2 linked regions of the Drosophila melanogaster genome follow. The protein of the gene in region 1 purifies or fractionates together with the protein of each later gene. This does not show direct contact. Each region holds a gene or a part of one and is shown in the gene's direction. Other genes may lie near its edges. The genes, in order: spdo and numb.

Region 1 (8,160 bases):
AAATAATATGGGGGAGAGAGCAGGGTGCAGGATGCGGTGAGACAACTCCCCTAATCAAATAATGCCAGTCGCACTCAGGACTCAGGATTCAGGATCTATCTTTGCGGCTGTTTCTCTGCTGTTCAGTTCAGTTGAGTTTAGTTGAGTTTCTGTTCCTGCATTTGTACCTTGGTTGTGTCACAACAAAGGACGAGACAGGATCCTCGCAAACAGCTGACAGCTGTGTGCCTGCCGTCTCTGTCTGTTATCCTTGTGCGCTGTCATTGCCCCTGCCTTTGAGTATCTGCATCCGAGTATCCTTCGGATACTGTGCAGAAACCCCGCACTCTAGTCGCGTGCCGTCTGCCGGCGTTTAACTTTATATGCATCTTAAATTTTCCCACCGACCAGCTGTTGGTGCCTCCAATTTCTGGCTAATCCGCTTGACAAATGCCCCCGGCTGCGCTGATTTGCTTCTGGCCAAAAGGCAATTAAGTTGGCCACCACAAAAGGACAACACGCGTGCATCCAACCTGCGGGCTCAAAGGCATGTACATATGTATGCACGTGGGAGGCGAAATCCGGATAAAGTTGACCCACGAACTCTTCGTTTTTTATCGTTTTTCTCTGACAACCAAATGTAACGGTCGCTTGGGCAACAAAAATCCGGGGAGGGCTGCCTTTAGGGAAGGTTTTTGGTCTGCACAAACATCAGAGCTGAGCAAGGATTATTTTTAAGAAGCAAGCGCGACTGAAGGGTACCCCTTAAAATAAATAAGCGAAGTGAAATAATTTAATCTCTTAAGTTCTTTTGTTTCATTTCTTTCTGACTGAAGCTAAGCTCTACTTTATGGCTTGACGCTTTTACGTCAGAAATATGTGCATATTAAACTAAACTGTTTTGTGAAAGCATTCATTAAAAGTTTGTTTTAATGGTGCCGATATACGGATGCTAACCATATATAATAAAAGCACGATATGTTTTCAACAAACAATAAACTATTTTAAATATTTCGGTCGAGAAACAAAGCAGCGGATGAACAAAAGGAACAAGAACAACTAGTTCTTATATGATTATAATAAAGAAAAAACACTTTTATGATAGTTAAATTATGTTGAATTCTCGGTGATGACAGTGTGCTGATATGATCTGCTCTACACTGGTTATGTTCGAGTATAATCTTAGGTGGATTTAAAACACATTCATCATACCCCTCAACTCGCCAACTAAGTGGTAGCAAAACAGAATTAAAGTCGCAAGGGAGCGCATATGAGTTGGTAAATAAGAATTAAAAACGCCGATAAACGCGAACCGAATAAAACGCCGGCTGCTCCTGCAATTCGCCAGGGGTTTTTAGGTTTTGGTTAGGATCGCGTTGAGACGTCTCAGTTGGAAGTGAAATGCGTTTCAACCCCCGTTCGTTCGTCGAGCAGCAGGAGCAGATGTTTCTGGGTTTTCACATTCGGTTCGGTTCCAATGGCCTAATGGAACGCGCCAAACACAGTCGGTCATTGTACGGGTGTACGGGTGTCTTATGTACAAGTAAATGGTGTTTTATGGGGTGGGGACTCGTATCGGAGCACGATCCACTCGACTGCGCGCCGGCGCAGGAAGTGGAGGAAGTTGAGGAGCTGCCGTCTGGAACGGCTCTCTAGATCAGTCGAGTCGCAGTTGCCGAGGCGAGCGGATCGTGAACAGTGCTACGAACCCAAAGAAAACCCAAAGTAGTGAAAGAACACCCCTAAGAGGTTGTGGAATTGCCACCAGTACAGTGCCAACATGTCGCAGCATAACTATACGAACCCGGCCTTCTGCCAGAACAGCGAGTATTACCCGGTGCCCAGCGGCAACTCGTCGCGAGTGGAGTCCATCTACAACAGAAGCCTCCAGATGAACTTTGGAGCGGCTCCTCCGCGCGCCACTCGAGATCCCCGCGAGGGTCCACTGCGAATGCAGCGTAGCATGTCCACGCGATCGGTGACGCGGAAACAACACCAGCAGCAGCAGCAGCAGCAACACCAACAGCAGATACACCAGCAACACCTGGCTCAGCAGCAGCAACACCAGCCGCAATCCTCTAGTGGTCGCTATGCCTTGGTTCCCCTAGAGGAACTGAACAGCAGTAGGGCCAGTAGATACGCCATAGTTCCAGGACAGGCGGCACAGAGACTGGCCCGATCACAGGATAATCTGGATCGCTATGGCTCCAGACATGGATTGCACGAAGAGGAGGAGCCTCACTCCTTCCACGAGGAACCCCATCAGGAGACCCAGTTTGCCAGCTTGCCACCGATACTTAATTTGCCGCCCAAGCCCAGGAATATTAACAACAATACCAATGCCAATCAAACCCAGATTAAGCATGCTTTTAGTAGCGACTTCGGCAGCAAGACCTTCTTGATAGTGGATAAGAATAGCAACCAGAGGTACCAGATGGTGCCCACCGCCGAGGACGAGGAGCTGGTAGACGAGAACCAGGAGATCATACAGATGCACAATGGCCGCGCCCATCGATATGCAGTGGTGCCCACGGATGCGGACGACGATGATCTGGCGGAGGAGCAGGAGCAGCAGGAAACCTGCCTGAGCAACATGGAATTGAGCAGGCAGTACGCAGCGAGGACCTCAACGCCGCAGCAAAAGAATGCGGCTGCCGCTACGAGGGCCCTGCACGAGCTCCTGACCACGCCCAGGAAGATGCAGCCGCCTCCGCGATTGGCGCACTCAACGCCCCGGAACGCCGCCCACCACGAGCAGCTGCAGCTGGAAAGGCGCTTGGAGATCTACAAAAGCCAACAGATCTACCAAAGCCAACAAGTTGGAGCGGTAGTAGGAGTCCCTCCAACCTTGCCACTTCGCCAGAATCGACTCTCCCCCCAGAGACTTCACTACGAGACCGTGAAGCCGCTTCCCATGCAGATCGCCGATCGATCCATGGCCGTCATCAGTCCCAGGGTCCAGGAGCAGGGGCAGGAGCAGGAACGGGAACAGGACATGAGCAGCATCCAGGGAAAGGGCAAGAAAAACAGCTCCTATCCGCAGAAGATGGCCAATGCCACCATTACCTTGGCCGTTGTCTCCCTGATGCTCGTCTTGGGCAGCACCATGAATGCGGGGCTCATCATCTACATGATAGCACACGTAAGTACTCTCAAATACTTTTAAAGATATTCATTTTGTCCATGGAAACATTTGAATAACACTTTTTCTTCGCCTACAGCTCGGAAAGTCCTTTTACCTGCAGTTTAGCCTGGTGGCCTCCTTCTCCGGAATGGGACTCGGCTTCCTGGGATTCAAGTCGCGCCACTGCGAGTGGCTGCCGAACAGGAGCTATAGTTCCGGCTATATCCTGGTCACCGTATTTTGCCTATTCAAGTCCTGCGGATTGCTTGTGATACTCGTGGTGGACCCCTTCCCCGGATTTCCTGTCCACGATGTGACCACTGGCGTCATCCTTGGACTGTCGACTTTCACCATGTTCTTCATCGGATTGGGAGTGCTGGGCAGCTTGTGGTGCCACCGACCTCCGCCAGACAACCGCGTCAACGTGGTCTAATACCCTGGAAATAGTTAATCCTAGACTCTAATTAGTTGTACACCATCCACTTCGAATTCAAGAACTTGACACACCGAACGGCTAAAAGACCAAAAACAAGAATTAGATTTATAATCAGCGGAAGATCATCATCCCCCAAACGACTGTATATAACAAGTGGGTTGTACCTATTGCTAACACTTAGTTTGCTTAACTTATTGTTCACCTAAGTATAAGTATGTTATGGAATAAGAATAAAATAAAGGCACGTAGATACCAGCACAGCATTTTGTATCAATAAGGAAATGGTTAAAGTGTTCAATTAGGTTAGTTCTTTAACAATCAAAAATATATATATGGTGAATAAACACTTTCAAATATAGGTCGAGTGTTAAAATTATAGATTCAGCGTCGTGATACTTAACTTAATTGAGTAAACAATTATTTTTCAGCTTTCAGCACCTTTTAACTATTGAAATACGGTGCATATTTTAAAGCAATGTGTTTTGCTCTTCTGTCTACTAAGTTTTGCCCTCTCTTTAAATTGCAGCAAAATGGACGAGTACCAGAGGGAGCACTCGGATGCCTCCCATGATATAACCGCCTATGTATCCAATCCAATCAATGCGTACCTGCTGACTAAGCGGCTAACCACCGATTGGCGTCAGGTGGAGAACCTCATGGAGCACGACGTGGGCACGGATTTCCTGCAGAACATCACCCAGTATCGCAGCCTCCTGAAGTTCCCCTCCGACGAGGACCTCAATGGCGCGGCGGTGGCCTTGCTCCGCCTGCAAGACACCTACCAACTGGACACTTCGAGTGTGGCGAGGGGCAAGCTGAATGGCATTCAGTACAGGTAAGTTTTTGTCCAACTAAATGCATGCGAGAAGTAAGGAAGTAAGCTAGAGCTATACAAAGCTGAGCACAGTCATCGATTTTCTGGTTACCAAAAAAATAAACTTCTCGAAGTGGAGCGGCCAAGTCCCTGGGATACTCACTGACCAAATTTATTATCCCGCAGCACGGAAATGTCCTCGGATGACTGCTTCGAGTTGGGTAGACAATCGTACGTGAACCACGACTACTACCACACGGTGCTCTGGATGAACGAGGCGATGGCCCGCATGCTGGAGGAGCCGACCAACCACACCCAGAGCTTCACCAAGGCCGACATCCTCGAGTACCTGGCCTTCTCCACCTACAAGGAGGGTGAGTGCAAGTCCGAGTCCAGTGCGACTCCCCGACATCCGTCCGCAAAGTGCCCCCGGTTGCACTTGCAAAAACCGCTGCTTAAATTGAAATATCGTTTTCTAATGAAATTTATTTAAATACTTCACTGGCTCCTTTGACAAGAAATATTCAAGCGTTGCATGCTTCAGACCGTGAAATTATTTAAAACTTTCGCTAAAAGCTATGCGTTTACCTTTATGTACAACCATAACTATGTTAGCATACGCTCATGGCAGTGCTGCTTCAATAACTTATAAAATCTAGAAATTTTCACAGCCCCCTAAACCCGAAAATGTCCTTAAATTTCGGTAATTAAATTCTCAGAGTGTGCTCGCCACTCCATCTCGTTGTTGTCCTGGCTCGTTTGCATGGCACTTTCGAGGTCCATTTGGTTGCAGGAAATTGCACTCAGTCGCCGGCCACTTGCCTCCTGTTGTCCTGCCACTTTCCATACTTTCCACCTGGAGCCGCTCTCAGGGTTCTCCATTAAGTGCGAATAAGTGTTGGCCATCTGCCGCCAGTGCGACTTTGTTGTGGAAAGGAGGGAAGTCATCACGTAGAGCAGGGCAGGATCGGCACGTCCTCTGGCTAGGGAGTTGTATGCTTTATTAACGTCTTATTACACCGGTTAGTGTCCCCTATCCGTTCATCAACGGGCTGGCTTCACACACGCATCTGTATCCCCAGTGGGTGCTCCTTGCCTCTAGGAGGCTCCACACAGTAAGAAATTCATTTTTTTTTTTTTTTTTTTTTTATGATGTTTTTATTATTTGATCAACGCACTGTTACCCATGCGGCAACTTAATTTGATCTGCTTAAATTATTTTATTTTACAATGTGTCTTGGTTACTTAAGACTAACAGATTTTTAATCCTAAAAATGATAGGGAGAATTATAATAGTTGATATAACATAGTAATTATTATTTATTTGATTATTCTAATGAATTTTAAAACTAAGACTTTCTAGGTCAAAACCAGGTTAGGGAGGTCATGAGGGTGGTGTCGCTTGAGTCTTCTTTTGACTCTAGTCCGAGGGTCAGCATTGACCACAGCTGCAGTTCCTAGCTTCCTTGCTAGGCTGTTGGGGTGTACTCATTTAGGAATACGTGTAATTAGAACCTGAACCAGTTCTCTGAAAGCTTTATTAGCCTCTACAGTTTCGTGTATAAGCTTAAATAGTTCGTCCATTCTCGTATTGATGGCCCGAATGGAGTTGTCTAACGTCATAAATTTATTGTTAAGGCTATTGTCCGACGTTGGTATAACTTCAGCCTGCACAGTAGCACGAGCCCTAGATTGAGTCGTGTTGCGTCGAGCAATATCAGCATAAGAGATGTTGGTTCTTAATGCCTCAGCTGGTATGTAACCGCTTGAAGAACGTTGTGGAGGTTTGAGTGTGGCAATATTATTAGTCATCGGCAGCCTGGACCTTGGTTTTAGCTTCTTGGCTTTCTCTGCTCTGACAGGGCAGCTTTTGTCTGTCGAGACATGATCACCACCACAATTTATACACAGACATACGTCACTTATGCACAAAGCGGACCCGGTCATATGGGGACCACTACATTTACCACAAATAGGATCCTGGGCGCAATAGTTCTTGGAGTGTCCAAAAATTTGGCATCTTTGACATTGTAGCAGTTCTTTTCTACGTGTAGCGCGCTCAACAGTGACTCTGTATCTGCCAAGTCGAGTTATCTTAAGAGACTCTTTAACATTCGGGCCTTGTTTAAGATTAATATAAAACAAATTTTGTCTAGTTTTGAAGTTTTTTGTAGCTTCATTATCATCTTCGTTTACCTGAATGTTCTTCCAGTCAGACTTTCTGGGGCAATAGATATTAAGGACCTCATAGCCGTGATCACTAAATGCTTGTTCTATCTGCGAACTAGGAACATTAGCATGGATTCCTTTAAGCACTACTCTGTAGGGTTTTTCTTCTTTAAGTTGGTGATGCCAGAATTGACAATTTAACTTATTTAGTTCTTTTACAGCGGTGCGGAAAGCATCAGGGTTGGCTGTATAGATTCTGGATACACCAAATCTAGAGGTGCAGATGTAGTAGTTTGAGGAGCCAATACTCAGATTAAGAGCCCGTTCCAAGGTGACCGGATCACTTACACTTGGTACGCATATGGCTGGGGGTTTGCTATATTTAGCGGATTGTCCACCACCATCTCGGGCAGCAGAGTCTTCAATGTCAGAATCAGCATCCGACACGTCTTGCTCCATATTCTCCGCTTCAGCAGACAAAAGCGCGAAGCGATTGTTATTTAATGCTGCTGCAGTGGAGGTAGAGGCCTCCTCATTGAGTGGCATAGTGGCCTGCCTTTTAGTTTTACGGCTTGGAGAAGGGGTGAGGATAGGTAATGGGGGCTGAGACACGCCTTTTCGTTTCCTGTTGACAGTACGATCATGTGCTTGAAAGGGGCAATTCGCTTTAGATGGCTTATTGGGCAGTGATGACAGAGGTGTCAGCAGTCCATTGTCATAAGGCGTAGTTGGGCAAATGCTAGTGGTCACGGTTGTGCCATCAGTGTATGTAGGAGTACAGATCATGTTGGCCTGTACGTTAGAAATAGTGCAGGTAACACTTGCATTGGTGTTGCTGCTGATTGTCACCATTAAGCTGGAGACCGTAGATTGAGTTGGCATACCTTCCAGGTTAGGGGAAACAACTGCACAGCTGGCGCGGAGTTGGGAGCGTAATTCTCCTGGCTCAACACCTGCTACTTTCCTCATTTTCTCAAATTTATCGCACCCATTGCTAGGTCGCGATTGAGCAAATGAATTCTCCATTATATCAATTGTCTTTATACTTATGCCGTATAATGCAAATGATATTTACTAAACACAATAAGATTTACCGGTTTACTTGTAAGGTAAATTGTAACAACCTCCCGCTTGCGCAGCGCGCAGGGCGAGGGGCAAAAACAACACAGCTTAGAAATTGCTAGTTGCTGATAAGTTTCGCGAACCGAAGCCGTCACCGTTATGCAGTGACTAAAAATAGATTTTGTTTGTGAGATAAGCACACGATCTGCGCAAATGTTTGTGATGGATCACAATTACGTTTTTGTTTTATCCGCGACTTCTGTGAACACGTCCACTCGATTGCTCATCTCCCATGCGAATGAAGAAATTCATAGAAAACACGTAGCCTGTTAAGTTCGGTGTCTAAAAGTGTGCAGAGATTTTAGAAAGTCTTAGTCCTGACTTTTTGGCCCAGCATTGCATGCTTTTAGTTGCCTTCTTTTAATTACTGGCACTTTCAATGCTTTCAAAACGATATGAGCAATGTAATTTGACTTGTGAATATTGGTTCACTTTTTATCCTACTATGCTCTGGGTCTAGCTCAACAAACAACCGATGGGCGTGGCCGGGGGCGGGGCGGAAGTGCGGCCATATTG
Region 2 (8,549 bases), on another chromosome or scaffold:
TCACTTTAAGCTTCAGTTCATTCAACCGCAAGCCGAGCTTAGCATTAACAAAAAGCTCTTTCACCTGCCCGACAAAGCTTTTAAGCCCTCGAGCCACTCAAGTTTTGCGGCTCAGCTCGGCGACGTCTCAAGAACGTACTCAAGAAACGCTCATAAGCAATAGGCTAAAAGAACACATTTACTTGGCCAAACACATACATAGACATACACACATGCAGTTTTAAATTAAAAACAAATTGCGAACACGAGACAAAATATGTTAGAGCTGTCATGACCCTAATGACCGTGGGAACTTTTTTATAAACGTCACTGACATTGTCAGCTGAGTGCCCAAGTGTGAATGTGCATGCATTGGGTGTAAGCAGGCTCTTAAGTTTCTTTTAAGAGAGACTTGAGTTCAAGCATTGCCAGATTAAAAACATTTTTAAAATTTTGTAACGGAAACAGCAGCTTAAATAATAACTTTAATAACTGCTTTAATACTCTATTTATAATAAAGAATATTTTTTTCATTTCAGCTTTTTCAAGGCACCTTAAACTAATACAAGGTAAGCAATTTCAAATATTTTTTTCAACGAGAGAGAGAGAACGAAACAACAAACAAGTTTTTTTCCGTAATATATTTTTAACAATTTTTCCTAAACCCAAAATGGAATTAAATCATCACAGTTAATATACAAACCTTTAAAAAATCACAAAAACTAAATTACCTTGAATCTTGATTATCAAAACATTGGGTTAATCGATTATTCATCACCCCCTTCGAATTGTCGCAAAATTATTTCAATTATTGCCCAACAATTGATTTGTTAATCTTCTTGTCTGCAAATGGAAATCCTTAACAATTGACCCAGCAATTTGTATGAGTAATTGGCTTCTTAATCGCAATTACAGGCCAGATTGGGTTCAATTCGAGTGAATTGATTCGGTTTGGATTACTCATGCCAACGTATTAGACTGTGTTTGAGCGTATTTGTTGCCATTTGTTGTGAGCCTTTCATTGCGGCATTTTGCGCATTTTGATTGAAATTTTGATTAGGTTGCACATGTGGCTTTTGTCTGCCCCGCAGCTCCATTGACTGACATTGATTTCTCAGCTTATGGCCATTTCCCTATTTCTATGCTTCCCTATGCTTCTTCCGTTTTCCCCTTTCCCCCATTGTCTGGCATTATCTTTTGTCGGTTCATACCAGCGGAGCTGGAATTATTTGTCTGCGACGGGAGGTGGGTGGGTTGTCTGGGATCTGGGGTCTCCTCATTCAGTGCTAGCTGTTTTCATTATGGTTTATCTAAAAGTGTCGAGTAATGTCTGTAATGGCTTTAACACATTTAACACACGGAAAAAGGCATAACCGTCTTTAATTTTAACGTAATGGAGTCAAATGATAATGGACATAAGCTTTATATAACTAACATCTTCTCGTGTTTTGAGTAAATCAATTCATAAGTATGCACTTATTATGGTTAATTTTGATTTTATTACTTTTTGAATAACTTATCCCAAGCTCGAAAAAGTTTGAAAATTTTATGTCATCTTTTAATGAAATTTGGAAATATTTGTATTATTAAATGATAGCAATAAGAATTTACATTTTTTCTGAGTGCAAGTCTGCTTTTTTCATCAGTTGCAGCACTTTGTTTTTTCTGCATTTAAATTGCGATAATGTTGGCGCGATTGGGTGCCATGTGTAGGTAGCAATGGTTTGCTCCCAATAGTTTTGATACCATTCTTTTTACTACCTGATTTTATGGGCTACCTGGATTAAAGTCGCTGCTGCATTGCAATTTTTCGCACGTTTCATTGCTGAAAACTCTCTTATTATCTATATGTATGACTGTCTCACGCGCACATTTGGGTATTTATCTTTCGGAGTTATCTATGTTTCTCTTAGGGTACAATTTTCTCTTAAAGAGCGAACGACCTTGCATCGCGCGCTCTTTTGTTCTACGGTTTCGATCGATCATTTTGCCATTGTTGTCACGGAATTTAGGTTGGGCAACTAATTCAAATCGATAAGTTCAATACATTGATTACCGAGCCTTGATTATTGTTCAGTTAATCAGTTTTTATTCTTTTCATTTGTTTTGTATGTCCGTTGGGATTTCATAACCACCTAGCCATCTTTTGCATTTTGTTAATAGCTAAGTCTTTGGTAACTCTCTTTGATGACTCTCTTGAGTGCCATAATCATTTCCATTCAAACCAAACCACTCGCTCTTCATACTCCATGTGGAAAAAACTGGCAGCTGCAGAACCAACGAAACCAACTGGTTTTGAATGCCCTTCTATCACTTCAATGGGGTATCTCAAATCCTGATTTCGAAGACAAAAAAATTTTCGGGATTAGTAATTTTTATTACGCAAGTTTTTAAAGATAACATCCTTAAAACTTGTAATTTTTACACCCGTGCAAAATTCATAATTTATTTTACAAAGTTTCCAAGAATTTGAGCGCTGCTAAAGAAAGACGACTAAAGACAATTCCGAACTTTAAATCCAAGGCGTATGGGTTAGCGATAAATCTGAGAGCCAGAGATATTACAAAACAATAAGAGGACCTTTTTGAACTACCCGGCTTTGTAATTATCTTAGCACTGGCCCATTTGGGAAATTCCCAGAGTTAAATAATAAAATTGAGCTCGTGTTTTCCAAGAATTTTCTCAACTTATCCCAACCGCAAATCTTTTAAGCCACGGTCACCAAATCGCGATCTCTAAATGCAGCGCATCTGAGATTATACCTGGCCGAGATACCTTAAACGCCACTCTCGCTCGCTCAACTTCTGCTATCTCACTCCCACTCTTGAAAACCTACAAGCTGCAGAAACGCGTCGCAGTTTTATCATTATCACAACAAATACAAACGCAGCAGAGCGGAGGTGAGATGGAAGAAGCAAAACGACGTCGTCGTTGGTAGTAAATAAACACAATGGAACTGAGCAAATCCACAAACGTACTGGTGCACTGAAAAAATCACTTTAAAGTTTTAAGAGGACTTAACAACTTGTAATATAATAAATAAAATAAAACACTATGATAATAATGGCTTAATAGGTTGTATTAAAAGCGCGTAATAGAATAAGGCAATACCCTTTGATGACGACCTTTTCCAAATCGATAGAAAAGTAGTAAGATCACTCTTCCCTCAAAGTGATCTTAACACCACATTTAGTTGAAATCAGGGCCAATTTGTTCGATTTTTCTCAGTGCACACACACACAGGCCGAAACACCCTGTAACAGCTGTCGCTCTCTTCCGCTCTTTGCACGCTCGCACTCTTTCCTCTCGACTCAAACAGCGCTGAGCGTGCGGCCAGAGTCAGCCAGTACAGTAGAGCAATTTGAGCCGCCGCATCGAGCTAACCGCTTACCGCTTGCCGGACAAACGCGTTCCGTTTTCCCTCCGCTTCCATTCGCTTTCGGCCCACTGTCGTCGTCGGTTGTCCAAATGTCCGCGTAGGGATAGTGTAACCTTTTTCCAATTTCCGGGGGGGTCATAGTAAAAAAGTTAACACCTAAGTAGTCCAGGCCTTTTGGGCCAAGCCGATCCCAGCCATCCATTTACCGGGCACCGGGCTCTTAACACGGGGATCGTTTTAATCGGTGTCGCGTTGTCGTTATTTCGGTTTTTCGCGATTTTCCCCACATTCCGTGTGCTGTGTGCTGTGCGAGGTGTTCTTGGAATTAATAAATAGTTAAAACCGAAACGTTGGCAAAAATCCACTGAATGAGCAAGAAAGTTATATAAGGCCCGAACCGGATTTATTTATTAATTATACATACGAATGTGATCAAAACAAAAACAGACTGACAACAAAACTCGGCTTTTTGGAATATACCAAAAAAAGCAACTCAAATACAAACCGATCCCGATATATATATGGTAAATGTTTAAAACCAAAAAAAAAAAAAAAACAGTAACAACAGCCAAAGTTGAGCTTAACTTGAGCTTCGGATTTAAAGCCAAGTCAAAACGAGTTTATTGTGGTGCAAAATCAGATTTGCATATACATATGCAATTCTTTTACAGCTTTACGCTAGTTGTTGCTGCTTTGACATTTGTAAAAACATAATATTCATTTTTGTAATAATTCCAGTTTTTGACGTCTTCAATATGCATTGGTATAGAAAACTAAAAACAGCTGTTCAAACTATGTAACACTATACTAGACTTTGCTTCGCAATAAGCTAAAGTATTCAAAATACGTTTTGGGGCATTAATTTTAATAATCAGGGGGAGTATATCCATTAAGGTTATAGCGATACCAGTAATTTAGAATGAATTACCCAGCTAAAAAACTCAATAAATCTTTGCAGTTTGCACTTGAACATAGCAATTGTTGAGAGAGGGTTAACAAATGAAATATATAAACACAATTAGCAATTAGCTGATTTTGGCTGGATCACATGAACGCACATACATACATACGCACATACGTACATATATATCTAAAAAGTTACGATTGACTGGATTCTACTGGTCTCCAGTCTCTCACGTTTCCGAAGATGAATCATTTGGCATGACTACAACTCTTCGAATCGATCGTATATAAAGACTATTTAGACTATTTCAAATATAGTCCCACATTTCAGTTTAAAATCCAATGAATTTCTGCCGAAGCATGCACATATTCTTACCACAAACTCTTCTCCCAGCTCTTTTGTAAAGTTAATTTATTTTAATGTATACTGTGTGCCAAATTATTTGACTGTCAACTGCATAAATTACTGCGATAACAAACAAAACGAAGAAAAAAAAGAAAAGTGGCAAAGGCAAAATGGAAAATGGGGAAAATTTCCCATTGAAATGAGTAATGAATTGGTTTGGGGCGGCTGAGAACGAAACCAACCGAGAGTGGGTGAAAATATATTATAATAACAGTGTAATTAAATGCCAACTTGGCCCCCGCTTTCGCCAGAAGAGAGTTTTTTGCAGCCGCAAACTATGGGATACTTTTGCTTTGCATAATTATGCTGTTCAACTTGATTTACTCGGAATGTTCTTCAAGATCTTGAGTTTCCACCAAAAGGGCTCCCTGATTTATGCTGCACTTTTTTCTTTTTTTTTTGGTAGCAATGCTTTGCAGCCTGGTCAGATTATAAATCTCAGCAGTTCATAAAAACTTCAGGCAAAAAGCTCCAGCAAAAACCATTCAGAAACATTCCAAGAAAAGCCAGAAACACGAACGAAAAAAAAAACTGGTAACAAGCCGAGGAAAAAAGTAAGAACATAATGCTACCTGGGTGCAGTTGGACTTGAGTTAAGCCAACTCTGGGATGGTGGAGCCGCGTCGAATGGAACCGGTTTGGTGGCTGGCTGGCAGCCAGCCGACTCCAACTTTTCTCACATGCCTTTCGATTATGCCAAGTCGACTGCATTCTTCGAGACGCGGCTTTCGCTAAACGTTTGGCTAAGACCGAGCTCTCAGCTCTCAGCTCCAAGCTCCAGCGCCCCATCCTCGAGCTCCATCCCATCGCTCTGCAAGTTCAACACTCAGTCGAGGAGTTAGACCTCAACTTCAACTTCAACTTGATCGCTGCCTCGGCTGTGGCTGCATAAAACTTTAATTTCATGGAATTTCCTTTCTATTTTTATGCTGCAACGCCGATGATTAACAACAGCAGCAGCAGCCAGCCAGCCAACTGCCAACAAAGAGAGACGTTGGACAAGTCAAGAACACGGGAACAAGTCCAAGACCAAGTCTAACTCCAAGTCATGGCTGCCAGCTAGAACTTCAACTTCTGGGCCATTAACTTAGCTCTGGAGACGGGACACAGCGGGCATGTGGCACCTGGCATTCTACATCTAAGGCAGGAAATTAAAAATGCAAAAAATTGGATAATTATGCATGTAAACGTTTTGTCATTAAGTTGATACTTAAATGCTGCGTCGATTAACAGGCAGATTTTAATAGAAAATAACGCTATTAAATCGGCCTAGAAGACACGGGGATTCCTTTAGGTGTCCCCACTTGTATTTCTTTTATAAAAACCACTTGCAATTGCTTTGAAAGTCTGCAAAAAATTACAATTATGAACCTTAAAGGGTATTAGAGAGTTTGTAACTTTTTGTTTATACTTGGCATTTTTCTTGCCTGCCAATAGCTAACTAGCCGTAAAGCTGAACAGCAAACATTTCGCATTAATGCCAAAAACTTTTCTCGCCTCTCGAAGACCCGACTAAGTCGACACGCCAACTTGGTAATAACTTGGCCTTGGCTTGGCTAAGTTGGCCAAAGCCGCAGCGCCTTAAGAATGTCAAAGGGCATGCTTGGATATGATTACGAGAATTTCCGTTCCTAGCTCCTTTTTTATTGCCTTTAATGAGCCAGTTCAATTTCCGGTCTGTCAGCTGGTTGTGCGCTGATAAAGGATTAATCTTATATAGAAACTATAGTTTGTCAAATTGTGTATGTAATTACTTTAGCTCTGATATAAAATTCTATTGAAATAGAACGTTTATTTACCTATGCCAAATTCTTATATGTAACCCAAATACCGTGACACACCTGTTCGCCTGGCTTATTAGGCAAATAGGGGACTATTTGCGCCAGTATTACTGCGCCCCCACAAAAAACACTAGGATGGCTTCTTTTGGCAAGTATATGGGTTGTTTGTTTAGTTTCCTATCGATTATTTTCATTGGGTATTTGCACTGCCTACTTTTGGGCGCCTGGCACCCGGAAATTGCTAAACCAATTGGCCAACAGCTGTTTTGTGTGATGTCTATTTGCCTGGCGTCGACAGAAGACGAGCGTTGACAATTGGAACAGAGAAAACTAACGTGGTTACACTTTTGTGCGCCATAAAATTGATTTGACTCTCCTCCTCCTTCCCCCTTTTGACGACGAAACTATGACAATCAGAGCAGAGAATGCCACTGGAAAATAGCGGGAGACAACCGTTTGGAAAATCGTCAGGCTTGGCTGACTTTCCATCGCCTCGAATTTTGGACCACTTTGCCTCCGCGACGACCTTTGCCGCCATAAATCGGTTGGATAATCGTCTAAACTTAGCAGTTATCTAAACATAGTTGCTGGTGATGTCACGTAACTTTCCACAAAACTTGTAAGCAAACAAATTCTCCTGTTGTTTTGCTTATCGCAAAGTCACATTTTGAAAAATCCCTTTCCCATTTTAAAACTGTCAGATAAAAAAGAGCTCTTTAGCCAGTTTTACGTTTGCTTCTGTCTGGGAAAGAAAAATATTACATCTTGTGTACTTTGATTACACGACGTTTGCTGGAGATCAACATTTGGATAAATACTTAGGAAATTAAACTACTAGTGCCTTTAAAAATCTTGTTTTGTAATCTAATATATTTTTCTGTCACATCGAAGCATTTGTATCAAGTTTCCAGGGTCATTACAAATTCAGTATAAGGATTGAATAAATTCAAATAAGCTTTGGTTTGGCTATTGTCTTAGGAATTTGTTTTCAACGCATTATACATTCTTGTGCATATTAAATTAGTTCTTAGTATTCCCCAGTGATTTTCCTCTACGATTTTCCCTCGCTTTATGAGTTATGAATGCGTAATGGTAAATGTGCCTTGGATGAATGATTGGTTGTTGAAAATTTCTCTGTGTTTCTCACCTTTGGTCTTCATTTCTTCATTGAATTGCATATTTTAATGGCTATAACGTGTCGCACGGCTCGGAAACAGGTTCCCCGAAAAATTCGGTTAACTTTTGTTAAGTTTGCCACAGCGCGTTGAGTCATTGAAATATTTATTTGCATAATGAGTGTAAACAGAAAGCTTGTAAGCGTGGTTCGCAGAAACAAAATCGTACGCTCACAAAAGTGGCTAAAGTCGAATGTAATTACCGTCGCATCTGCCGGCTGGCGAGCAAACAAAGGATAACAAGGATCTTCGATCGTCCTGTTGAGACACGAACCAAACGATTCCGTTTACCTGGAAATTCGGAAATCGTAGCAAATCGAAGTCACTATGCTGAGAACAGACGGCGGCATGTGCGCGAGTCCGAGTACCCACTTAACCAGAGAATCCTTCGAGAATCCTTCGCCACGTGCACCGAGCCATATGGCAGGATCCTGGTAAAAGGTGCGAAAGAGACAGAAAGCCGAACAACAACTGCCGGCAGGGGCTGCATTCGTTTCAAACGACAGATGCAAACTATTTCGAAGTTGTTCGAATTGTGACCCGCTTGCATGTCTCGTGTTCGCCAGGACAGAACACTTCTTATAAGGTATATTATGTATGGATGTATGGATGGTACATATACTACCTACCTCCACTCCACAAACTCACATGTGTATAGCTCGCAGGCGTGCCTATTGTTTTTATTTTTTCTGTGCCTGCATTTCTACTTCCGTTCGTCGGGTTTTTGAGGTTTCTCTCAAGTGTTTTTGTGCTGGAAATGCTCGTATTGGAGTTTGTTTTGTTAAAGGATGTGGTGGAACAGTTAGGATTGTATGTATACATATTCCACATATCGATTTCCCAATTTCATGTACTCTGATAAGGATAAACTTGTACATAAATGCACTTTTAGAGATGCATTTCTGTCTTTCTTTTTTATTAACAAT

The links.
Region 2: the proteins of spdo (region 1) and numb purify together in Drosophila melanogaster (affinity purification with western blotting; 6 studies listed by BioGRID). This does not show direct contact.

What each region holds. Positions count from the first base shown.
Region 1 is NT_033777.3:30,475,054-30,483,213, forward strand, and holds spdo (sanpodo), read left to right. Parts: upstream 1-1,630; 5' UTR 1,631-1,759; coding exon 1,760-3,121; intron 3,122-3,200; coding exon 3,201-3,536; 3' UTR 3,537-3,796; downstream 3,797-8,160. Other genes in the region: PH4alphaEFB (prolyl-4-hydroxylase-alpha EFB), read left to right, coding at 4,066-4,374, 4,540-4,727.
Region 2 is NT_033779.5:9,446,500-9,455,048, forward strand, and holds the start of numb (numb), read left to right. Parts: upstream 1-3,330; 5' UTR 3,331-3,882; intron 3,883-4,096; 5' UTR 4,097-4,121; intron 4,122-8,549.